Arabidopsis thaliana: one gene and its partners. The protein of the gene in region 1 interacts with the protein of each later gene in a pairwise test. Each region holds a gene or a part of one and is shown on either strand. Other genes may lie near its edges. The genes, in order: WAK3, ABCG6, AT4G37220 and SAG29.

Region 1 (6,791 bases):
TACAAGTAAAAGTTAAAACTGAGAATTGAGATTCCTTTAATATTTGAGTCTGCACTTTCCCCAACTTTTATCTTCATCCACTGAAGTTGGTTCTAAGATAATTTTAGTCTGAATACGTGCTTGGTATTATTAGTAAGTCAATAAACATGAATTGGGGTAATCAAATGGAAGTAGACAACAAGTGATCATGCTTTGATTGGTGACTAACCTGCCAATAATCGTAGGATTGCTGACTAACACTTACTAAAAATCATATATTTTAACAAGAAACAAATTAAGAGATTTGATGTGATATACAATATCAAGCAATCTTATGCAACAAGAATGATGGGTTGTAGATGAGTAACGAAACATGATGACTCAAGCTGTAGATCAAATATGAAGTTTGCACCAAATGAGTCTTTTATTTTTTTAGTTTACCAAGCAACTAACAAAGAATCATATGGTTTGGTTTGAGGAAGCGGTATCTACGATGAACTCGACCAGGTGCTGAAGATTTCGATGATCATATTCATAGTATACTTACTCTCCTCTGTTTTTGACGCCTACTTTAAATTCTAGTGTTTTTTCTTCTCGAGTTGTTTTGTTTTTCTTTATAATTAAGCACAATGATATATTAATGTCGTATGGAATCATATTTATGAACTCTAGGTAGTTTTTCTAATACCTAATCAGCTACTGGTTAGCATATAAAAATATAGGAGAATTGTGAACATGAGTATATATGGATGATCTACAAGGATATCAATGTTTTTGAATGTCATGTTTTGATATTCTGGTTATGTTTATAAAGACAAAAGGAGATAAACAATAAAGAATTAAACAATATACTTTTTAACAAACAAAATTTATCAGCGGCCAGCTTCAATGTCAAGCAATGCTACATTCTTGACGCTGTCATAACCACGGCTATTGGTATCGCCTTGGGAAGACACGATGTTGCTACCAAGCAAGTGTAAATTCTCCTCTCGATACTGATCCGACCAATTATGTTTGGTTGTTTTGACGCTCAAAGTTTCTAGCTCTACAGCTACTTCTTTCATCCTTGGCCTTTCTTTTCCCATTAGCCTTGTACACTCTGCAGCAATTCTTGCAGCTTCCTGGATCTCCTTCAGATTATCCTCGTTCAACACTTGGTCGTCAATAATCTCATGCAACCTATTCTCTTCCGTGGCAGAAACAAAGTAACTCACCAAATGTTTTGAAGCCTGTGGCCGTTCAAAGCACAATGCCTTTTGACCTGAGAGCAGTTCCATGAGGACTACCCCAAAGCTATACACATCGCTCTTCTCGTTCAGAAGCCCTGTGGTATAGTATTCTGGGTCTAAATAGCCTAGAGTGCCTTGCACCATAGTATACCAAGTAAAGGAAAATATGAACATGATTATTGATGATGAACAAACAAGCTCTCAAAGCATATTGATGAAGCAACAAATAAGTGGTTTTCTTTTTTTACAAACAAAAGAGATACATGTGATTTTGTGAGCAATATCAGCGGCCAGTTTCAATGTCCAATATTGCTACATTTTTGATGCTATCATAGCCAATGCTGCTACTGGTTTCGCCTTGTGCAGACAAGATGTGACCACCAATCAAGTGTTCATTCTCCTCAGGATACTGATCCGACCACTTATGTTTGGTTTTCTCGACCCTCAAGGCTTCTAGCTTTGCAGCTACTTCTTTCATCCTTGGCCTTTCCTCTCCCATTAGCCTTGTACACTCTGCAGCAATTCTTGCAGCTTCCTGGATCTCCTTCAGATTATCCTCGTTCAACACTTGGTCGTCAATAATCTCATGCAACCTATTCTCTTCCGTGGCAGAAACAAAGTAACTCACCAAATGTTTTGAAGCCTGTGGCCGTTCAAAGCACAATGCCTTTTGACCTGAGAGCAGTTCCATGAGGACTACCCCAAAGCTATACACATCGCTCTTCTCGTTCAGAAGCCCTGTGGTATAGTATTCTGGGTCTAAATAGCCTAGAGTGCCTTGCACCATAGTTGTGAGCTGCTCTTTATCCATTGGTATAAGCTTAGAAGCGCCAAAGTCGGCTACTTTTGCAGTTAAGTTTTCATCCAAGAGAATATTTGCAGTTTTGATATCGCGATGGATGATTGGAATAGAAGCAGAGGAGTGAAGATAAGCAAGAGTTCCAGCGACTTCTATCGCTATTCTGAGGCGGTGTTCCCATGTAAGAGAAGAATCAAAAATGGAACCGTGCAAGTGATCGAAAAGGGTGCCATTGGTAATGAATTCATAGACCAACAAGGGGACTTCAGTCTCTAGACAGCAACCCAAGATCTTGACCACGTTCCTGTGGTTAATTTGTGAAAGCACGAGCACTTCGTGGATGAACTGATCTACTTGTCTACTGTCTGCAAGCCGAGCTTTCTTTATAGCAACGATAGTGTTGTCCGGCAATATCCCTTTGTAGACTGTTCCTTGACCTCCCTGGCCCAAGATTCTGCTCTCATCATAGCCATTAGTTGCCTCTTTCATGCCTTCCTCAGTAAAGATTTTGAAATCAATGTTTGACAACCCTGCTCCTGAAAGTCGCTGTATCAACATGCCACCACCATTTTGCTCAAAGAATTGTCGTCGGAGCTTGGTATACTTCCTTTGCTTCGTTGCATGTTGTATACAGATCGCAGCAAGCAGGAGGACCAAGACGCCGATTATGATTACTGATAACATCATGCATAGATGATTAGAGCGAGTTGATTTAAAGAGAATCTAGAACCAGTGAAGAGTGTTTACCAAGAAAAATTCGAGTCCGTTTGTATTCGGGCCTCGTGCAGCTCATACTGGAGTTTAAGTCGTAACCAGATGGACACTTACAATCGAAGCCTCCATCCCTGTTTCTACAGGTTTTTGGATCCGAACAGTTATGTGTATCACTAATACACTCATCGATGTCTGACCAAAGGAATAAGTGCACAAGATGCAACCAAAAACGTATGAGGAAGATTATAAACACTCAAAAGAAGAAAGAAAGCAAAGAAATTAATATGAAGTACCTTTGCAACCCTCTGAACGGTATGGATTCCCATCATAACCTTCATTACATTTGCAGATATACCCGTTTCTAGTAGTAGAATTGTAACATGAGCTGTTCTTACCGCATATTCTTGTGCTTCCAGCTTGCTCACATGTCTGGTTTCCAATAGACCAATCTAGTGCCACAGGGAACCTCGTGACATTCCTCAGATTCTTAAGATCTTTTGAAGAATCGAAGTTAAACTTACCATCTTCAACGAGAAAAGCGTAGGTGCAAGGATTAAACTGATATACCGAAGTATTAAATAGATCTAAGGAATTATTAACTTGGTTTCTCAAGCGAACTGAGCCAAATTGGAATGTATCGCTATCGAACGGGACAGAGAAGTCCTCTGTTGTGCAGCAACCTACACCATTACATCTTCCATTTGCCTCTGGTTGAGAATTGCATAATGACAAGCATCCAGTTGAGTAGTTTTGCTTTCCAAAAGTGCTCAAAAGTGATAAAGCGTTACATCCTACTAAAGTAAACTTGTTGTTGGAGGAGAGAGAGAAACTACTACCCAGCTGATACCCGAGGGCAGTTCCATTAGTCTCATTTTTCTGCTCGTAGCATTCAGAGAATCGTTCAAACAGTACACTTACATGGCCACTGTGAGAAATATTGGTCACTTGAATGATGCCAAAGAGTAGTAGCTTCTCTTCCACGACACAGGTGAGATTGAAATTATCATCTCCGGGATAGTAACAACCTGTAGAAATACCAAAAGGGTACTCTATTGTGACGTTTCCACATTTAAGTTTACAATCTTCGCGAGGTTGATGTTGCCCCTTCACAAGCTGAGTATATGCAAGGAAGAAAATAACCACCAAGAACACACCCTCCTGGAACTTCATCTTCTACCTTTCTCTTTCTTTCTCTCTAAACTTGTTTCTCTTTGAGTTTTCTCTCATCGCTTATTCGCTTCTTATAGCTTGAAAAGTAACCCCTGATTTGACATTGTTGAATAATCAAATGTGAAGAAAAGTAAAGATTCAGACTACTAGACGTTAGAAAAATATAAATGCGTCAACTTCTTTATCTGTCCTTTCTTTCTTGTCTTGATTTTTCCAGGAAACTCCAATTTATTGTTCATATATGAAAGTCTCGTTATAGTGACAATGTAGGAATAAGACTCATCATGATCACAACATGCTCTGTTTTCTTCTGCTGTCGTAATAGTAGAAATATGTAGTTTTTTTGTGTGTGTGTGTGTGTTGAGTTTATAAATGTCAACAAGTTTTCGAAGAATTTGAATAGTTCTTGCCTCATGTGTCATGTCGCTGCTTACTCTTCAAGAGGTTATCTATGAGAAATTTCCATGCAAATCCACCACTTTGTTAGAAACTGAATCTCCTTCTAGAAACAGAACAGAGTTAAGAACAGAGAAAGAGAATCAGACTTTGTATCACAATTGGTTTGATCGTCAACATAACAATAAAGAGAAGAACTTGTCTTTCTATTATAGAGAAAGTGAAATACAACAACTGTTTTACAAGGTTTACAACAATTAACTTAAATACAAACCAACAGACATGAAAAGTCAAGAGTTATGACTCTTCTTTCTTGTGACACAACAAACATAACTACTTTAACTTAACAGACACGACACTTAAGTAATATATTACAAACCAAACTCAATTACGACCAGCACTCTTTCACCGAAAGAAACCAGATTCATTCAAAGAAACTGAGGGAAAATCTTGAGAAAAAACTGAAAATACACTGTTTGATGATTAAAATAATCTTTGACAGACCAGACTTAGAGATTTTAAGGGTATAGTAGAGGTAGCTTTCTCAATTTACTAAAGATCAGAGTTTTAACAAAAAAGGAAAATTTGATGGTTACAAAACCACAACAATCTTATGCAGCAAGAATGATAATTTAATTTAGAAAACGCAGTATTAAAATTTTAATAACAGAGCAATATATGAGTCAAGTTGTTTATCAAATAGTCAAGTTGTTCTTTCATACTTTCAAAGCCTTGTATCAAAAACGTTATTTTTCTTGAATATAATTTAACATTACATTCAAAAAAAAAAAAAAAAAAAAAATGTCAAGTTGTTCTTTTGGAGTTACGTACATACCACGCATCTTAAGTTAGAGATTTCTCGTTTACTAGTTTTTACTTCTCATGTAGTTGTGCATATGTTTGTTTATTACTGATCTAATTCCAAAATCATATGTTAACTTGTTTACATTTTTGTCTTCGTCTTGTTGCTCGTGGATATATATAATTGCATCTTTGTAATCATTTCATCATAATATCGATCACGTTGACGGAGAGTGCTTTTCTAGAATCCACCAAATTTTCTCATGTTTTCACTATATATATTACTTATGGTTAAAGATCATAAATTTTTAACAAAATAAGAAAACTTGATGGCTTCAAAACCAGAGCAATCTTATGCAGCAAGAATGATTTTGTTAATTTAGAAAACGCAGTATTAAATTATAGATGCCAGTACCAAAACAATATATGAGTCAAGCTGTGGATCAAATAGGATGTTTTAAGCAACTGAGCCCTTTAAATTCGAGTTATTGTTTTGCAACCACAACAGTATATCAATATCTCTGCTAGTAGATTCATGAATTCTTAATTTTTCTCATACCGAATCGTCTACTGGTTAGCTTACCAATCGAATGGAGTTATAAAATGAATAATTGATGATCTACAACGGATCTCTCGAGCATAAATGTTCTTGAATATCATGTTTTGATACTCTGTTTTTTTTGAAGTGTTAGGAAACATATAGGACATAAGCAATAAATAAGTGGCTTTACTTTTTCACAAACAAAAGATTGATAAATATCAGCGGCCAGTTTCAATGTCCAACCTTGTTACATTCTGGATGCTGTCATAGCCAATGCTACTGGTATCACCTTGCGTCGATAAGATTTGAACACCAAGCAAATGCTCAACCTCCTTGGGATATTGATCTGACCACTGATGTTTGGTTGTTTTGACTCTCAAGGCCTCTAACTCTGCAGCTACTTCTTTCATACTTGGCCTTTCCTCTCCCATAATTCTTGTACACTCAACAGCAATTCTTGCAGATTCCTGGATCTCCCTCTGATTATACTCGTTCATAACTTGACCGTCAATAATCTCATGCAACCTATTTTCTTTCATGGCAGAAACAAAGTAACTCACTAGATGTTTTGAGCTTTGTGGCCGTTCAAAGCATAATGCCTTTTCACCTGAGAGCAGTTCCATGAGGACTACCCCAAAGCTATAAACATCGCTCTTTTCGTTCAGAAGCCCTGTATTGTAGTATTCAGGGTCTAAATAGCCAAGAGTTCCTTGAACCATAGTTGTGAGCTGCTCTTGGTCCATCGGTATCAGCCTTGATGCACCAAAATCAGCTACTTTTGCAGTTAAGTTTTCATCGAGGAGAATGTTAGCAGTCTTGACATCTCGGTGGATGATTGGAATAGAAGCATAGGAGTGAAGATATGCAAGAGTTCCAGCAACTTCTATGGCTATCCTCAGACGGTGTTCCCATGTAAGCGAAGAATCAAACATAGAACCGTGCAAGTGATCAAAAAGAGTGCCACTGGAAATGAACTCATAGACCAACAAGGGAACTTCAGTCTCTAGACAACAGCCCAAGAGTTTGACCACGTTCCTGTGGTTTATTTGTGAAAGCACTAGCACTTCGTTGATGAACTGCTCTACTTGGCTACGGTCTCCAAGTCGAGCTTTCTTTATAGCAACAATGGAGTTATCTTGCAATATCCCTTTGTAGACTGTTC
Region 2 (6,781 bases), on another chromosome or scaffold:
AACAGTTTGATCATAACACATACACCTTACGTACTGAAAATAGATTCTCCTACGTGATAATTGAGGAAGAAAAAATGTTCTTAGGTCACCAGTAGACAGAATCTTTTGCAAATGAGAATAGTGCTGCTGTCAATGGTCAACTATATAGGCTCTCTGTATCTTTTTACTATTTCATTGGTATGGAAATGGTCAAAGGTTTAATTGTAGCTCTCTAGTGCTATTCTCCTGGTGAATGTAGCATTTCAGGTGCTGTAATTCTTCTTCTGATTGTTTGTATAGACTTGGAATATGGGTTAATGTTGAAAAAAAACTGAATATTTTGTCACACTTCTTATGTATTGTTCTTCCATGCTAAATTACAGGTCTTAGAGGAAACTGGATTTGATGTCTCAAAGCTACTCAAGAGAGAAGAATATATAGAGTTTGTTTTCAGGCAGCAAAGAGTACGACTTTACATTGTTGCTGGGGTGACAGAAGATACAGTTTTTGCACCACTTACAAAGAAGGAAATCAGTGTGCGTATTTAACAATTAACTTGTGGATCTGATCTTGTCTGTGTATGTATGATGAGTCTCTTATCTTCTTTTGTTGTGGAATACTTGTAGGAAATCACATGGCATCGGCTTGATCATCTTCAGCCAGCAAGTAATGAGGTGATAACTCATGGAGTTTCTGGTCTCAAATTGTACATGGTGGCACCTTTCCTTTCGTGAGTAGTGGCTCTCTAATTTATACACATAGATTTTTGGGTGATTTTCGTGTTTTGGTTCATAACAAGAGAGATTACAAACTTGTGCAGGTCATTGAAGTCGTGGATATTAAAGCATCCTTCACCTGTAGCACGGAGACCTAACAAGCCCCTTAAAGGTTTGACGTCTTTTTCTCAAGCATTCATTAAAAGAGAGGTTTTTGGTAGAGATCTGACTATATATGCTTTGTACAGCACTCTGCGTGTGGAATGCAAGGACTAGTGTTGGAGGGAACGGGACAGCAACAGTGGAAAGCCAAAATAGAAAGTCTGAACTCAGGACAACAACAATGGAAAGCAACAGTAGAAAGCCTGAACTCAAGAGAACAACAATGGAAAGCCACAGTACAAAGCCTGAACTCAGGAAAGGAACAATGGAAAGCCACAATACAACAGCAACAGTAGAAAGCCACAATACAAAGCCTGTAGTCGACCATTCTCAGGACATAAAACCTGGTGGCAGTTTCATAAACTTCAAGTTCAACCAGTCAGTTATCTTACAGGCGTTGGAATCTGGTAATTCAGCTTGACTGGTCAGTTTGTCACATATCGGTTGGATTGGTGTTGGGAGTAATGATGCGGTTGGATTGGTGGGTTTGTCTATAGCAAAACCGTTGGATATGTTCATACACGCTGGTAGCTTTCTATTTCTTTGCCATTTGGTTTATATACCTCTCGTTTCTTCTAGAATGAAAGGGTTGTTGTAAATGATGTTAGTAGGGAAGTGGTGAATCCTTTGGATCATGGCTTTAGATGACAATGTTACGACCAGCTATAAAGGTTAAAAGAGTTTCTTATCCGAGTAGTGAATCGATGATCTTCTTTATAGCGCCCTCTAACTGCTTAATCGAAGCAGAAAGTGTTTTTCTTTTTAGAATAAAAAATGAACTCACCTATAAAACAAAAAGTCGCACCTAAATAAGTGAAGTTTATGTAATACTATGATTACCTTGGAAACAAGAGATATCTCGAGATTGTTTAGTTTTTTTCACATTGTAATTTGTTAGTATAAAAGGTGGGTGGGGGAATGGTGGCCTAAATTCGGCAAGGGTGGCCTAAAAAATACATTTGATTGCTATACGAAAACATTTTAAAGAAACAGAAACTGACAAGTGGCATTTTGTGTTTTACACTTTTACTTGCTTGTGTTTAGGTTTGGAGGTTCATCTACATAAGCATCAGCATTGTGACTTTGACTCTCCCCATCAAAATTAATCCTAAAAATCAAAGCATGTTAAACAGCCCAACCACATTGAGAATTTTATCTATAAATAGAATTAGAAATTAAATCCTTGGTTAAACCCATAACTCTTCTTTCCTCTTTTCTTCTCCGGCTAACGGTAGTTTTGACGCCGTTAGTTTTTCCTCCGTCTATTGATTTTTCCCGCTTCACAATCGCAACAAACCCAAAGAAGAATGTCTCGTGTGGTCGCAGCGGACGACAATATGGCGTTGCCGTTCTTCTCGCCGGAGTTTGGCAATGTCTCAGGCGCGTCGTCTTCTCCAACAACGTTCGCACAGCTCTTGCAAAACGTCGACGACTCCACGCGTCGTAGTCACCACCAGCATCACGTTGATGTGGATCTCGCCTCGCCGGACCAATCCGTACCGTTCGTTCTCTCGTTCACTGATCTCACTTACAGCGTCAAAGTTCGCCGGAAGTTCACATGGAGACGCAGTGTTTCTTCAGATCCTGGAGCTCCGTCTGAGGGGATCTTCTCTTCCAAGACGAAGACGCTCCTCAACGGAATCACCGGAGAAGCTAGAGACGGAGAGATACTAGCTGTGCTCGGAGCAAGTGGCTCTGGAAAATCGACGCTGATCGATGCGTTAGCGAATCGAATCGCTAAAGGAAGCTTGAAAGGAAATGTAACTCTAAACGGAGAAGTTCTCAATTCGAAAATGCAGAAAGCGATCTCAGCTTATGTGATGCAAGACGATCTTCTTTTTCCGATGCTTACAGTTGAAGAAACCTTAATGTTCGCTGCCGAGTTTCGTCTCCCGCGAAGCCTTTCGAAATCAAAGAAGTCTCTCCGTGTCCAAGCCTTGATTGATCAGTTAGGACTTAGAAACGCGGCGAATACGGTGATCGGAGATGAAGGACACCGTGGAATCTCTGGAGGAGAGCGACGGCGAGTTTCAATCGGGATCGATATCATCCACGATCCGATTCTGCTTTTCCTCGATGAACCAACTTCGGGTCTGGACTCTACAAGTGCTCTAAGTGTTATTAAGGTTCTTAAACGAATCGCTCAGAGTGGAAGTATGGTGATCATGACTCTTCATCAACCTAGTTACCGTCTTCTTCGATTGCTTGATCGTCTTCTCTTCTTGTCCCGTGGCCAAACTGTCTTCAGCGGATCGCCTGCGATGCTACCGCGCTTCTTCGCAGAGTTTGGCCATCCAATTCCTGAACATGAGAACCGCACCGAGTTCGCTTTGGATTTGATACGTGAGCTGGAAGGATCAGCTGGTGGAACAAGAAGTTTAGTTGAATTCAACAAAGGGTTTAGACAGAGGAAAGCAGAGCCAAGAAGTCAGACTGGCTTGTCCTTAAAAGAAGCCATCAGCGCAAGTATCTCTAAAGGCAAGCTCGTCTCTGGAGCGACCACAACAACTCATAGCTCTGGCTCGAGCCCTGTTTCCACTATTCCAACTTTCGCGAACCCGTTTTGGGTCGAACTCGCGGTTCTAGCCAAACGGTCCATGACTAATTCTCGCAGACAGCCTGAACTATTCGGGATACGCCTAGGAGCTGTTTTAGTCACTGGATTCATCTTAGCCACTATGTTTTGGCAGCTAGATAACTCCCCTAAAGGAGTCCAAGAACGTCTTGGATGCTTCGCTTTTGCAATGTCCACAACGTTCTACACTTGCGCAGATGCTCTCCCTGTTTTCCTCCAAGAACGTTTCATTTTCATGAGAGAAACTGCTTACAACGCTTACCGAAGATCCTCCTATGTACTATCTCACTCTCTTGTTGCCCTCCCTTCCTTGATCATCCTCTCGCTTGCTTTTGCAGCGATCACATTTTGGGGTGTGGGTTTAGATGGAGGTCTTATGGGTTTCCTCTTCTACTTCCTAGTAATCTTAGCCTCTTTCTGGGCAGGAAGCTCATTCGTCACCTTCTTATCAGGCGTTGTCCCACACGTTATGCTCGGTTACACCATTGTTGTAGCCATTTTAGCCTATTTCTTGCTTTTCAGTGGATTCTTCATCAACCGAGATCGAATCCCTGGCTACTGGATCTGGTTCCATTACATTTCCTTAGTCAAGTATCCTTATGAGGCTGTGCTCCTAAACGAATTCGGTGACCCAACAAAGTGTTTCGTCAGAGGAGTTCAGATATTCGACAACACACCTCTGGTCGCGGTGCCTCAGGGGATGAAAGTTAGGCTTCTAGCAACTATGAGCAAATCACTTGGAATGAGGATCACAAGCTCTACTTGCTTGACCACAGGATATGACATTTTGCAGCAACAAGGCGTTACGGATCTCACCAAATGGAATTGCTTGTGGGTCACGGTCGCTTGGGGCTTCTTCTTTCGAATCTTGTTCTACTTTTCTCTGCTTTTGGGTAGCAAGAACAAGAGGAGGTAAAAACAAAACTCAGTTTGATCTTATGGAGGACTGGTTTGAAACTTGATTTACCTTTGTTTGTTTTCTGTATTTTTCTTTTATCTCTTTGTTGTATATTCTTATATATGTGGTTGATAAATTGTTGAATTGGAGCCCAACTACTTGCTATTTATTTGAATTATAAATTGGAAGACTCTGAAAAGAAAAGACTATAAATGTGTGTAGAATATTTGGCTTGTTTGGGTTTGATAAGTAAAACAAATTTTACAACTAAAAATTGCCAACTTTTTTAGTACAATAGCACCTTACACATTCCGTAGAACACATCATATGACGTATGTTGATGGATTTGCCAACCATAGTCAAGGGGAAGCTTAGCCTATAGTCTCGTCACTTTTAGAACACCAGCCTCTCTAAACAACTTCAATCTCTTGCTTCAGAAACATGAACTATGTACAAACTCATACACATTCCCCAATCAGATTATGGGTTCCTCTTCCGGTTCCCAACACTTTCCTCAACCCCTCATTAATAACATCTACTGATTCAACCTCGTAAAATTCATCTTTCACATGCCTACACTGGAAAAGCAACAAGATCAATCAGAATCCTTTCCCTCAAATGCAACATTAAAGTTCAAATTCACTTGGAATGAGGAAAAAGATAAGGAACCATCAAACACCCCATTGGGTTCAAATAGGTAGTGTACCTTTGGCCGTTTCCAGTTTGCTCTCGTCCATGGCCAGTAAATCCAGTTCTACCAAACTGTACATGCTTCAACATGATAGGTGATAAAGCTTATTATTGGGTCAAAACAATAATAGCAAACTTACTAACCCTTATTTCTCAAACTCCTTTGTCTCTATCAACTGAAAAGTGGCTATGTCAACATTTCAAGCAAGTTTGGTGTAGGTGGTGTACCTTTGGTATCTTGGATATACCTAAAGCCATATTGATGACATCGTGTTATGAATATCCATCATCTCGTTCTTCGCAGATGCAACTGAAAGTCCTAAACCAAATAACAGTTATAACTCAGCCATATATTGGGGTTGTTATGGTTCTGGCAAGTCCAACTTCAAGTAGAACACACGAGTGCTTCGGCAAAGATACTTGTTCATCAAGAACAAAACCTGCACGTCTCTCTGGCCTGAATAGTTCTACCGGTAAAAAGTCTGGACCCCTGTATTTTAACTAGAGGAAAGTGTCTCTTCTAACAACCTAGGCTAGCCATTCTTCATCCCCTCATATCCGTTAAACCAGTAACGTTCTACATAAGCCGGTTGAGGATTACTGAGTGTAGAGAAGACTAAAAAAACCACATGTATTTACACCATCTTGCTTCAGTTGTATACCCATTCCAACTCACAGACAGTGTTACAGTGCAAATGAGAACACCGGAAACTGAATCACAGCAAGAAAGGTAACAACATCTAGATGATACCACAACAGAAGTGCTATACATACACACAGCCAAGCAATGGCCAAGTTCAAAACTTTTTCGAACGATAGAGCAGAGTGTTCCTTTACATCAGTCATTGGAATGTCCACAATAATCAGCCACTGAATTGTCTCGGCCATGGCAAAATCACAGAACTTCCGTTTGATATCTGATTTACTATCACTTATCTTCCTGGTCTTAGAAGGTTAAAGCAAATTGAATACTAACCTTTATTTTAAAAACCATCACCACCGAGCTCATCCGGTTGCCAAATTTTACTGTTCTTTGAAGTTTCTTCCTCTTCCATATTCTTAGTTCTTCCAGATGCATTCTCAGTTGAGTTCTTATTTTCTCCATCAATTTCCATTAAACTCCCTTGTTCTTCAATTTTAATACGAGGGTCTTGTTGGAACCTCACAGCATCAGGGTCATTCTCTACATTAGTAGGTGCACAACCATCATTGTTAAAAGATGGTCTAAAAGAGCTGCTGGTACCATCATGTCTATAACCAAATCGTCTTCTCTCAGCATTAACATCAACACCAAATCGTTCAGAATGAATTTGACCTTCAAAGAAATCATCACTATAGTCAACCCTTTCTCGAGGATCCAAGTTATTCATGTTTCCATGGTTTCTATGTACAACATGATCAGATGGTTTCCTAAATGAGTTGCCATCTCTTCCATAACCTCGACCCCTTACATAACCTCGGCCCCTTGCATAACCCCGGCCCCTTCCAGCATTCGATGGTCTATGCGAGAAAGGTGGAGAATTGTGTCTTCTGACAACCATTTCTCTTGAATAACCAGAATGGTCAGGCGAGCTCATCCTCTCCACTTTGTAACCTGAGGGTGATCTTCGATGAGAAAAGTCTGTATGCCCACTGAACTCTTCCTGTGATCTATTCCTGAAAGACGAGGATGAACCATCTGATCTTTCTCTTGATCTAACTGGAGATCGTGAACGAAATCCAGGAAAATCTCGTTTGGGGTTGTTTACAAACTTTGTTCGT
Region 3 (5,173 bases), on another chromosome or scaffold:
CTTAGCTAGCTCCTCATTGTTTCCTCTAGCAGGTAATGCAACCGCATTGTCATAGCCTTGATATTCTATAGAGGTACCTTGTAATACTCCTCGGATTTGAGCAGATGGGCTTTTGGAGGTTGGAATCAAAGGAAGCATCGGATTTGAGGGGGTTTACGAACATTCTCTTGGCTATTTCGAGTTGATTTCTCTTCCAAGTTGTGTCGTCTCCATTTTTGTGGCCGAGCTTTTTGTTTTCACAGCGATGGGTTTACATTGGTTTCGAAATTCAAATTGATCTCGGTTCGGTTTAATTTGGTTTAGAGAAGAAAACCAAAACAAATAAGACACGCGATGGGTTTTTAAGAACGAGGTGCGTGGATTCAAAAAGGCATAAATTTTGTGGATTAATAACCCCTTTAGAAATCGTAGACACGCGCTCAACGCGACATGGGTGAGAGTGGCTGTGAAATCGCACGATTGGTAAAAGTGGGGTATGAAGTGGAGCTCTCTCATTGGCTAAAAAACTAAAAATAGTAGGGAAGCTCCTCCTCTCATATATTGAAAACAATAATAAACAGTGTATCTCTGTGAGTGTAGAAGCACGAATATCATCAGAGAGGAGAGAGGAGCAATCAATCCACTCTCGTCTTCTCCTTTGTTAGCTTCGGAATCTTCTTCTTCTTCTTCAATACAGCTTCGACACTAGAAATTCAAAAGGTCGTTATGAATTTACCTTAGATTTTCTGCGTTTTCAGAGTGAATTTTATTGATTTCTGAATTTTTATTGATAATAATCTGCAGATGTTGTGTTTTACGATCAGATTTATTTCCAACGTGGCCTTGGGTGAATGCTGAAGGGATCGACTTGGGACCAAAGTATCCTCTGCGATGCCACGAGCTGCTTGATCGTGAACAAGAACGGTACACGCTCCCCACCAGGAAGTTGTGTACTGTCACTGCTGCGTAATCAACTTCGAAAGGGCCTTCGATTTCATCGAGTGTGTAGGTAAGGCTAGTCATGAGCTTTGTGCTTTGGAAATCTGGTGTGGTGCTACTAACTACTTGAGCTTTGACGGTGAATGATTACAAGAATATACACTTTTGGATACGAACAACGGCACGTAGTTCAATGCTAGGAGGTGATAGAAATTTGTGTTGCTTTATTGTTTGGTGTTAATGAAATGAAAAACAATTTTCAAAAAACAACTATTAGTCATGATCAATTAAAAAGTCTACAATATTCAAGATTGATTCAACAAATCAACCAATATGCAAATTTATTTATATATCTTACAAGTCACACATTTACAAGAAAAAAAAAACAATCTTACAAGTCAGCAGTGCACGATTGAAACTTCTTTTTTATATTCAAGACTTTCTCAAACACAAATGCTCCTTATAAAATTCAAACCTTGAAAACGAATTGAAGACACAAAATGTTGAATGTGTCTACAAACCAATGGGTCGGATTGACTTAAAAGATGTGAAAGAAGATGGTCCAAACCGGGTAAACGAGGAGGGCAACGATCCCAATGGTATTGGAGATTCCATTCTTTTGAGTAAAAGAGTTTTTGAATCCACCTGAAGCTTTAATGTGTTCATGGAAAAGGTAACATGCTATTACTAGACATATGACTGCTCCAACCCAGCTTTCTCTTAGTGTCCAAGCTATAAGGCTCGGCGACACCACCACAATAAGAATCAATGCTACCGGAATCTCTAGCCACTCTACATTTATATGCAAAAAAGAAAGAAGATTTTCAAGATCAAAGTTTCAAACTAATGTTAAGTCATGAAAACTGCTGGTTCTGACCTGGAAATTCTTTAGGGAAGAAAAGCCTGACTATGATCGCGATGAGAGCAATCCATTTCCCAAAGTCTCCGCTGTGAAATTATATCGAATATGGATTATATTTTCAAAAGAACTCCATAACATCATGTTAAAGAACAGTTTTTCTTGATTACCTAAAGAACTGGAAGATAACCGAAGGAAGTGTGAAAAAGATGTATGGTACTAAAAGGGTGGTCAACATTTTGGTTTTCCAGTTGGTACGATCCAATATCAACAGATAACTGTCAAAGCAAAACAATAAGAACCATCATATCAATATATGATTCAAACAAAAACCAGAGAGGTTATATGGTTTTGTCTTTTGGCTCACATAGCGAAGATTGAAGCGGCCCATTGGAGGACTGACGTGCCAAAACCTACCCCGCCGAGCATCCCTACGTCTTTCACGAGCTTCTTTGCAGCGGCGACGAACTCATTCATATCGGAATTGATCAGGTTAGCCGCGTTCTCCTCAGTCTTCATGGCCAAAAACTCACCCCTTCCCATTTTTAAGTTTTAGTTTGTTTGTGAATGTAGTAAACTCTCTCACATAGCAGAGTATTTATAACCAATCACAAAACACCTTGGCTGTTTGTGACAACTGTTGAATCAGAACGAAAGAAAAAAAAATACTGTTGTGAATTTGGATATTCTAGGAGCTGCTCGCCACGTAGGCTTCGCTGGTGACAGAGATAGATTTGACACGTGGCTTCCCCAAGGGTCTCGTTTTCATAGACAGAGCTTATCTATGATATCTCCAGAATCCAGATATAGCGTAATCTTATTATACTAATCATATTATAAGATTCCAGTTTTTAATTCTACAAGTAGCCTACATTTTTTAATAAAGGATATCCAATTATCCCTTAATTATTACTTATAAAATTCCCTAAAAGATCTCCAAAGAACTATTTCTCATCAGATGATTATCAACTGATAATGTGATAATAAGATTCTGCTTTTGTGCCTAAACTAAAAAACACTTTGAAAAAATAAGACTGATTAAACAAGAATAAAAAGTAAAAAATATCTCAGCGATTTAAAAAAGTAGCAAGTACGGACTCCATTACAAAACATGAACCTGAAAATCTAGTCTTGGAAGATTCATGAGGAAGATACCAAATGTTTTTCTCAGTTTTCTTAGGTTAGATACTTCACTAGTAACAGGAATTTTTATACCTTTTTCCGGTTTCAAGAGGAGTTGCCATCTGCTTTGTCTGAAAACTCTAGAGCTGGTTTCTTTGATGCACTTGATTCAATCGAGGTTGTATTCATCAAAACTCTCTTCACTCCTCTTCCAACAACACCCAAGTGAGTAACACCTGATGCTGCTCCTCCTCCTGCTGCACCGGTATGAGCGGTTGAGACTGTAGGCGACTCTAAATCTTTCCCGAAATTGGTGTTCACAGTTCCCATCCTAGAAGAGCTCATTTCAGCAGCAGCAGGAACAACCTTGTCACTGGCATTTGGCTTAGCTGATACCATGCCCATTAGCTCAGCAAGAACCTGCTTTGGGTTCTCTGCTTGTTGTTTTAAATCCTCAAGCTGCAGAAAAAAAATGTTGGACATTAGTATGGGTTTAGAGATATTTTAATGAACTGATAGGTTTAGTTTACTTGCCTTCTTTTCTAGATCTTCAGCGAGACCAGCTAAGTCTCCGATCTCAACTTCTTTGTCTGAAGCAGATTTATCAATGTAAGGAACATTGGATGATTGTTGGATGCCTTCATCTATTTCAGAGACGGTTGAGGAAGTTGCTGAACCAGATGCACCTTTGATTTCATTACTGAGCCTCTCCATCCGAGCTTTGCATATTAACAAAGCTTTTTGACAATATGGTATTGCTTCCTTAGGCTGACATCCAGTCTCAAGACAAATGCAGATGCGGAAGTTTCTGAAACGTTCAAGTTAAGATATAATCCAACAACTGAATTGACAGAAACGAAAATCAGGTACAATTTAAGAAACCACAAGGATACAATTCAGCTGTGCGTCGACTGTCGGGCTCAACCAGTCTCTCTAAGATGGATAATGCATTCTTGTAGTCAGACAGGGAAGACTCAATGTCCTCTGCATAGTAAACAACAGAACTCAAAACCAACCAATAGCTGACATGAGAAAATAAGACAATGCAAAGGTGAAAGGAAGAAAAAATACCTCTTTCCAAGGACACTTCAGCAAGCGAACAGAGTATATCCACTTTTTCCATTGTCTCAGTAGACTGTTTGTCAGTAATAACCCTAGCAATGTCCAGCATTTTCCAGGCCATATCCAAATCAGACTCATCTTCATCAGCATCACCATCAGCATCAGATAGGTCATCATCTTGACAATCTTCACCATCCTCTCCTTGGTCTTTACCACCAGAACCTATACATGAGGGAGAAAAGAAGTCAGCAAACAAAGAAGCAGAAGCATCTATACCCATAAGCTTAACCTAAGACAATTCCCAATAATCCATACCTTCTTGCCCACTTGAACTCCCTTGTCTCTCTGGGTCACCTGAAACAACAGAAGGAGCCAGCGATTCACCATTGCTGGACTCTTGCTGAACTTCACCTTCTTTCTTAGGCATGTTCCCAAGTGGATCAGCTTCAGCTTGAGCCTTTGCCAGGAGAGCTAATCCATATCGATAGTATGCGTTTATACACTCAGCATCAAGTTCACCATAATGTGCAACCCTAACCATACCATTAAAACAAGCAATGTTTTCATTAGATCCTTTGATAAAAGGACCAGATACTAAAGAATTCAGTCGAGAGAACACACAATTGAAACTCAACTAAAAATTCAGAACCATGATTAGATCATTCGAGCATAAACTAGATTCAGAAACATCTGAAACCCTAAACCCTTGATTGAGAGGTTCTCGACTACAAATTCTCAAATGAATCTCCCAAAAAGATACCTGATTTCGAGAGCACGGCTGAAGCAATCGACGGCTTCAGCGAAATCGTTCTCTTTCAAAAACACAGAGCCTTTCTCCGTCAATTCCTCAGCGAACTCAAGCGTCTTCTCACGCTCCTCATCACAAACCTCAGTAGCAGCACTGTCAGCGGCGTTGTTGTTATTAGCGTCGTTGTTACAAGTCGATTCAGTGCCTCCCTGAACAACCGATTCGACGGTGGCTTCGATTGAGGCTAGGTTAGGTTCTAGGGTTTGCGCAATCTCCGTCGCCGGCTCGGTTAGGGTTTGTATCACCGAAGCTTCCGACGCAGAAGCTGATTCTTCAACCATCGCGGATTGAGATTTTTTCTGGGTGAATTTGAATTTCGAAGAACAAAAACGTCAAATTTGTTGAGAAGAGTGGAATCGTATTAAAACCCTCTCTTCGCTTTTTTTGGCGGACTTGAAAATGAA
Region 4 (6,184 bases), on another chromosome or scaffold:
ATATCAATAGGGAGCGTGCGGTTGCAGAGGCTAAGATGTGGGGAGAGAGTTTGAGGGAGAAACGAAGACAGAGCGAGCAGGGTACTTCAGAGAGCAACAGTACCGGGTAGAACCGGTTTGGGTCGGTCTTGACCCTTTTTTGTTCTTATTTCTCTCAAGACTCTCATTTATTGTCAAACATAGAAAACAAACAAAAAAACATTGGGACGACGAGTTGCTGTACATTATATATGTGATGTTGCAATATGGGCACAAAGGTTAATAACCAAAACTCTCTAATTGAGATTCTGGAGAGTTGTGAAGATTGTTCATGTAAATTTTGTAGTCTTTCTATTTTTAAATTTTGACAGATATGTGTTTCATGATGAGTCACATGTGGCGATGTTTACGTCTCATTGAAAGATTGAATAGCAAAGATCCAATATTAAGTGTTTCTGGACTCTATTCATGTGGTTCAGTAGTGTGGCTAATGTCCACAATCGCGGAGTTTCGGACAACGTGGGTCACATGCCCTCGCAATCTGACAATTATTTTAAGGATGGCTTATTCAGATTGTAAGATTTTAGTTGGTCTTATCAAGTTTTTGTCGGGACTTTTTTTTACTATTGACAGTGTACTGTGTAGTCTATTGAAATGGATGTCGAAACTTCCCGTATGTTTTAGTTTTGGTGAATATCATTTCTTGGCCTCTAAATACTCGGAGAATCTATTCTTTACTAGATAGTCCTAAATTTTAGAATTTTTTAAGTAAGAGGAAAAATTATTAACTAAAAACCTCTGTCTTTTTTTCCATCAAGAGACATACTAATTTTATAAATTACATAGCGTATCCTACACTGGCATGCGTAATTTGTCAAAATTCGCTATAATATATATGATTCTTTGTCGGATTTTGTCGTTACGGTTTAAAATGTAAGTTAGTTAACAAGTATATATATTTCATATTATTATTTCTTACGAGTTATTTATAGTTATATTAAAATATTTTGGGGTAATATAATCATAGGATGGTTATAATATTTGTAGATAACTAAGTAATCTTGTATATTTTGTTACGAATAAGCAAATAATATAGTGATTGTCACTTGGAAGTGTGAGATATGCTTGCAATACATTTTCATCAGACCATTGGGACGTCTTGACAATTTTTTATTCGTTTCCAAAACTGGACGGTGATGATTTTTTGTACACTTGAAAATTAGACTCTACAAAGAAAAACACAATTCGTTTAAAAAAGAATATAATCTGCTTTGGTTGTATATACTTGATGGGGACAGTTTAGATCACAAACTTATGTACATACTTTTTCTTCTGACTCATGAGTTTTATATATTTGTTAATTCTCAAAATCGTTAAACAGTATGTCGTCAATGGCACAAGACCATTCGTTATCTAACTGACGGCGACATCTTTAAGACAAATGTAATCAATCATAAAAAAAAAGGGTGGTCAACAAGCTTATTAGTTTTAACAAAAAAAAAGCTTATTAGTAGGAGTAATTAAGCTATTGAGGTTTATTATATCAAATTTTCCAAAGAGCACTAGTTACAACTTACACAAAGATAATATATTCAAATAAACACAAAACTTTATGCAAGTAGTACATCATCAATAAGATACGAAACAAAAATGGAAATTTAACAAACCACCCCGCCGATAATACAATTTCTTCCTTTGGCCGGCCCTGACGAGCCGAGAGAAAGAGAGTGAAAGAGAGAGAGAGAGAGAGCAATATTTTGAGCTTCACATATTGACACTTCAAACGGTTTCAGGACGAGTAGCCTCCACGTAGCACTTGCCGTTTTCAATTGACGGCTCCTCCACTTTAGTAACTTTGGACAGATCCTCATGATGAACGGCTTCAGAGAGTGGGTCCACCGATTCCGTCACAACTGGGTGCACTTCCGACACACCTAACGGACTCATCACGACAATACTCTTAAGTTGTTGTTCTGACGAATTAATCTTCTCTGGTTTCTCATTTGAGTTCCTGTAAACCAAGTACAAAACCATTTGCAACAGCCCTAGTACGAATCCCACCACGTTTGGAATCTACAAAATATCATCAAAGCCATACAAAATAGGTCAGTTATAACCTTTTTACCGAATATTTAAAAAATTTAGCAAACGGTAAAAATAAATAATAATATAGATGCTTAATTGCTTACCGCTATGCATATGTCATTGAGGAATAAACCATAAGCGAACCACATAACGGCGCTTATAGTGAGGAAGAAAGAAAGCGTGAAGGGCATGTACTCCACACTCTTTGTCTTTATCACACGAGCCTATTCACATCAAGAATTTATATTTAACATTTTATTTCAAAATATAATGTTCTAGAAATAAATTTACAAATTAAATTAAATAACGCTAGCTTACCACGATCATTAGAGGGGCAGCGAAAACAGAAACAGAAATGGCAACACAAATCCAGCCGAGTACAGAGACTTGGAGGGGAGGAGTTTTAACCACGAAATGTGTTACCATTAGAATCAACGAGAAGAAGGCAACGTTCATTGCTATGAACAACTTCATAGCCGATATCTGCCAAAAACGCATATTATTCATTTAATATTCGTATTTAATTACATAGCGGAATTAAGGAGGAGGAGAGGGGAATAATTTTACCCTTTTCTCCCTGGTGGCGTAAGCGAAGAACATGGCTATGTAGAGAGTCTCCACGACGCAGCCAAAGGAGTTGATGGTAATTAGGAGAAAAGCGTCTTTCTTAATCAATGCGTAGTAGAGCCATAGCATGCAGCTAAATAGCGACACTTGGTACGGTAGCGACTGGAAACTTTCCGTCGATTTTCTCTTGTATATTCTATAAAAAGTTGGCCTGAATATTTTGAAAAACGAAATCATCAGAATCATTCTCAAAACTAACAAATAAATAAAATGAAATAAAAAAAAGTAAATTGAATCTACTTACACTGGAGCGAGGAATACAAGGAAGGATATCACGTTTCCTGTAATTCCATGTAAAAATAAAAAAATGAGTCAATTGTATAATTAAGAGGCTTCTAGTTTTGTGGAAACATAAGTACATATGAATCAGTACGGGTTCTCTAACCAACCTCAGCGGGGAATTAAATTGTGCATTAACCACTATACACGTATTGAGTATGATATAACATGGACAACAATGCGTGACGATTTCAATTTAATTAATAGCTTACGTATTGATTTATTTTTTGGTAGTTTGGGATTTAACTAAAGAATTAGAAGATCATTTATAATCCCAAATGACTTAGTTTAGTTAATGAAGAAAAAACTTGAAACTTGTTAGGTGAGTCATGATGAACACTACAGAATTTCAATTCATTTCTTAGTACTCTGTTGTTTAATTAACTCTAAGCTAGAACTACAATGGAACCCTACACATAGTATATATTGTTTTGAAAACAGAAGCTTAGATGTAAAGTTGCAACATTATAGTTGCTGTTGCAAATTCCTTTTGTTAACAAGTAAAAAACATAAGAATAACAGTAAAGACAAGAGATGATGAACAAACTAGGATTTGGCTTTGTGGATTTATCATTACCTAAGATGCCGAAGATAAAAGCGAGGAAATGGTGATTGATCATGACTCCCATTTTCTATAGCAATTGAGAAAACTTTCCTGTTAGGAGATTTCTAAAGGGTCTCTTTTTTTTTTTTTTTGAAACCCTAAAGCTTTCTCTCTCTTTCTCTATATGTCTCTCTCTAGAAGATGCTTCTTTTTATTTCATGGAGGAAACTGAGGAGGCTCAGGTGGTTTATATATAGCTCCAAAATAACCATTGTAGTCAAAATATTTTGATTTTAATGTTTAGAGTTTATTAGAAGCGTGTAACGTGTTGAGTAGAATAAAAAACAAAAAAATAAGACTCGAAAAGGAAAACGAACTCAGTCTGGTTGCATGACAAGTGGAGATATTAGTAGGTAGCGTTTGCATTTTATCATTCACTCAATCTTACTTCTTTCCTCCACTACTCTCATCTCGTACGCGCGTCGTCTATTACGATTTCATTTTCTTCACGCCTTCTTTTTAATTAGCTTTCATAAATCACATTTAGTACCACAGTTTTGTACTTTATAGACGATAGATAAATATCATGGTGACCAAAAGTCTACCCAACATCAACCTATATAGAGGAAATCATCACTAGATTACATTACGATTTGTACATTTTCTTTAGGCTTTATCGCCCTCTCTTTATTTTTAATCTACATATATATGAACTGGAATCCAAAATATCCCACGTATCTATTCAATGTACATAATAATTATAGACACTGTTTTCAAAAATGTAGGATAATTAATTTCATTGACTATATTTTCAAGTATGATTACAATGAATTTAATTGTTTTGTCTGTATTCTCGTTACACAAATATATACTATGACTTAAATGAGAGGGGTGGGACTGGTTTCATCTATATTGGTTTTTGTAAAGGAGTCTAGGTGAGAATGATTAAAGATCTAACATAGCTAGAAATATACGTGTGATGGCTAGATTAAACCAACACATTTATAGGTAGCACAAAAAAGTACCAGTAAAGATATTTCTTTGCAGAAAATTGACGCCGTTCTCTATATAATTATTGGCATTTGCAATGATTAACCAAAGTAGGAATGAAACCATTCACATCTCCTGGTCCAGTTTCTCATTTCTCTCTAACTCTTGTCTAGAGGTACACGTTTTTTTTTTTCCTTGTACAAAAAGAAAACGTTAACAATCATGCATGTTTTGAGCAAAAACTCCACGCGTCGAAACGGAGCGTCGCGCGTGAGAATAAATTAAGGTAAATTAAACGAAAAAAATGATGCGTTACGAGAGAGAGTCGTGATTAATAATACGATAATAATAGCATGAAAACGAAAAATTTGTGCAAATCACGTGACCTCTCCAAACGCTTCCACTTATAGCCGTTTCTTTAGAGTTTGTAGAGACACACACACACGAGAGCTATGCCACGTCATCAGATGCTGACTAGGCAACACCCTCTCTTTGGTTTCGTGTCTTTAGAGTATTTTCTGTTTCTTGCTCTTCGTCTCCTGTTTTAATCCCTATTTTCAGGATTTCTTATATTAGTATATTAAATAACAATTAGTCCTTTTTGTTGATTCCAGTTATATATAATTTTCTAAAATGTTTATAAACTTTTTCTCGTTAATTTTTTGAAATAAGGATGCATGTATAATGATCTAGTTATGCAGTAATATGCATATTATTCAGAGATTGGTTGAATATTACATTTTCTTTTGTTACGTTTGTTTCTATAGTTATGAGGAAAGGAATCTGAATATTTTGGAGAAAAGGTTGAGAAAATTACGAAACAATTCTCCATTTTTCGAGGGTAAGTTAAAACAGATATTAAAAGTGGGAAGAAATGGACAAAAGAGGAGTGACGTGGTAGGCTAATGATAACAATGATCATGGGTTTGTTAAATCCTTCTTGTTCTTATTCGTGAGTATTTGTTTCTCTCTCTCCCTCTTTCTTTTATTTGGTCCATAATAATTTAAAATATGAGAGGTGCCACTTTTGTGGTTCTCCTCCACCTTAATTTCCCCATCTCTAATTACTATTGAAGCAACTTTGGTTTCTCTTAAAAATTTTGATTGATTGGTGCCTAATATAGTTTTGGTTCATCGTACGATCCATACGGTGTATGCAAATTTGCAATCACATTCCCCTGACTTCTTTATATTATTTACTATAAATATATCCATGGACATTTATAGTAATATGTATACAGTAGTCATGAACAATAGATATTCATAATTCACTAGCAATATTGCATCACATCACAATTTCTCGTTTATATTTTGACATTTCTCATCGAATAAAATTTCTGTAACCCATATATGAAATGTTTTTTCGTTTTTAATGGATGATGCTTTAAATGAATTATGTGGAAAATCAACCCAAATACAACAAACATCGGCTGATCAAACCCCAATAATATAGGCATCTAGGTGACCCACATTGATATATGATGGATGCATATAAATTTGTGTATGTTGCTACCACATAAAGGAAAAATGACAATCATGTGGGTGAAATTAAACCTCCCCCGATCCTATCGTTTTCTGATTTCAATCGGTTATACGAATCTAGCTTTACACACACATACATTTATCTAGCTATGCTACATATAGCTTTCAATGATAGATACCTATCTATGATTTGTTAGC

What was found.
Region 2: the proteins of WAK3 (region 1) and ABCG6 interact in a protein complementation assay, tested with the Arabidopsis thaliana proteins (one large-scale study listed by BioGRID).
Region 3: the proteins of WAK3 (region 1) and AT4G37220 interact in a protein complementation assay, tested with the Arabidopsis thaliana proteins (one large-scale study listed by BioGRID).
Region 4: the proteins of WAK3 (region 1) and SAG29 interact in a protein complementation assay, tested with the Arabidopsis thaliana proteins (one large-scale study listed by BioGRID).

What each region holds. Positions count from the first base shown.
Region 1 is NC_003070.9:7,431,403-7,438,193, reverse strand, and holds WAK3 (wall associated kinase 3), read right to left. Parts: upstream 3,960-6,791; 5' UTR 3,892-3,959; coding exon 3,015-3,891; intron 2,914-3,014; coding exon 2,755-2,913; intron 2,682-2,754; coding exon 1,492-2,681; 3' UTR 1,364-1,491; downstream 1-1,363. Other genes in the region: AT1G21245 (Protein kinase superfamily protein), read right to left, coding at 852-1,352; WAK5 (wall associated kinase 5), read right to left, coding at 5,848-6,791. UniProt on the Arabidopsis thaliana protein: Serine/threonine-protein kinase that may function as a signaling receptor of extracellular matrix component. Binding to pectin may have significance in the control of cell expansion, morphogenesis and development.
Region 2 is NC_003076.8:4,368,715-4,375,495, forward strand, and holds ABCG6 (ABC-2 type transporter family protein), read left to right. Parts: upstream 1-1,977; 5' UTR 1,978-2,164; coding exon 2,165-4,348; 3' UTR 4,349-4,487; downstream 4,488-6,781. Other genes in the region: DCP2 (decapping 2), read left to right, coding at 208-246, 363-515, 606-709, 800-867, 944-1,278; AT5G13590 (uncharacterized protein), read right to left, coding at 6,004-6,781.
Region 3 is NC_003075.7:17,512,253-17,517,425, reverse strand, and holds AT4G37220 (Cold acclimation protein WCOR413 family), read right to left. Parts: upstream 2,385-5,173; 5' UTR 2,321-2,384; coding exon 2,145-2,320; intron 2,056-2,144; coding exon 1,948-2,055; intron 1,867-1,947; coding exon 1,796-1,866; intron 1,711-1,795; coding exon 1,457-1,710; 3' UTR 1,264-1,456; downstream 1-1,263. Other genes in the region: AT4G37230 (Photosystem II manganese-stabilising protein (PsbO) family), read right to left, coding at 1-65, 798-1,002; AT4G37210 (Tetratricopeptide repeat (TPR)-like superfamily protein), read right to left, coding at 3,005-3,358, 3,434-3,707, 3,793-3,883, 3,971-4,183, 4,277-4,494, 4,722-5,050.
Region 4 is NC_003076.8:4,179,573-4,185,756, forward strand, and holds SAG29 (senescence-associated gene 29), read right to left. Parts: upstream 3,783-6,184; 5' UTR 3,600-3,782; coding exon 3,548-3,599; intron 2,973-3,547; coding exon 2,936-2,972; intron 2,843-2,935; coding exon 2,632-2,842; intron 2,548-2,631; coding exon 2,383-2,547; intron 2,289-2,382; coding exon 2,169-2,288; intron 2,053-2,168; coding exon 1,759-2,052; 3' UTR 1,470-1,758; downstream 1-1,469. Other genes in the region: PBS1 (Protein kinase superfamily protein), read left to right, coding at 1-110.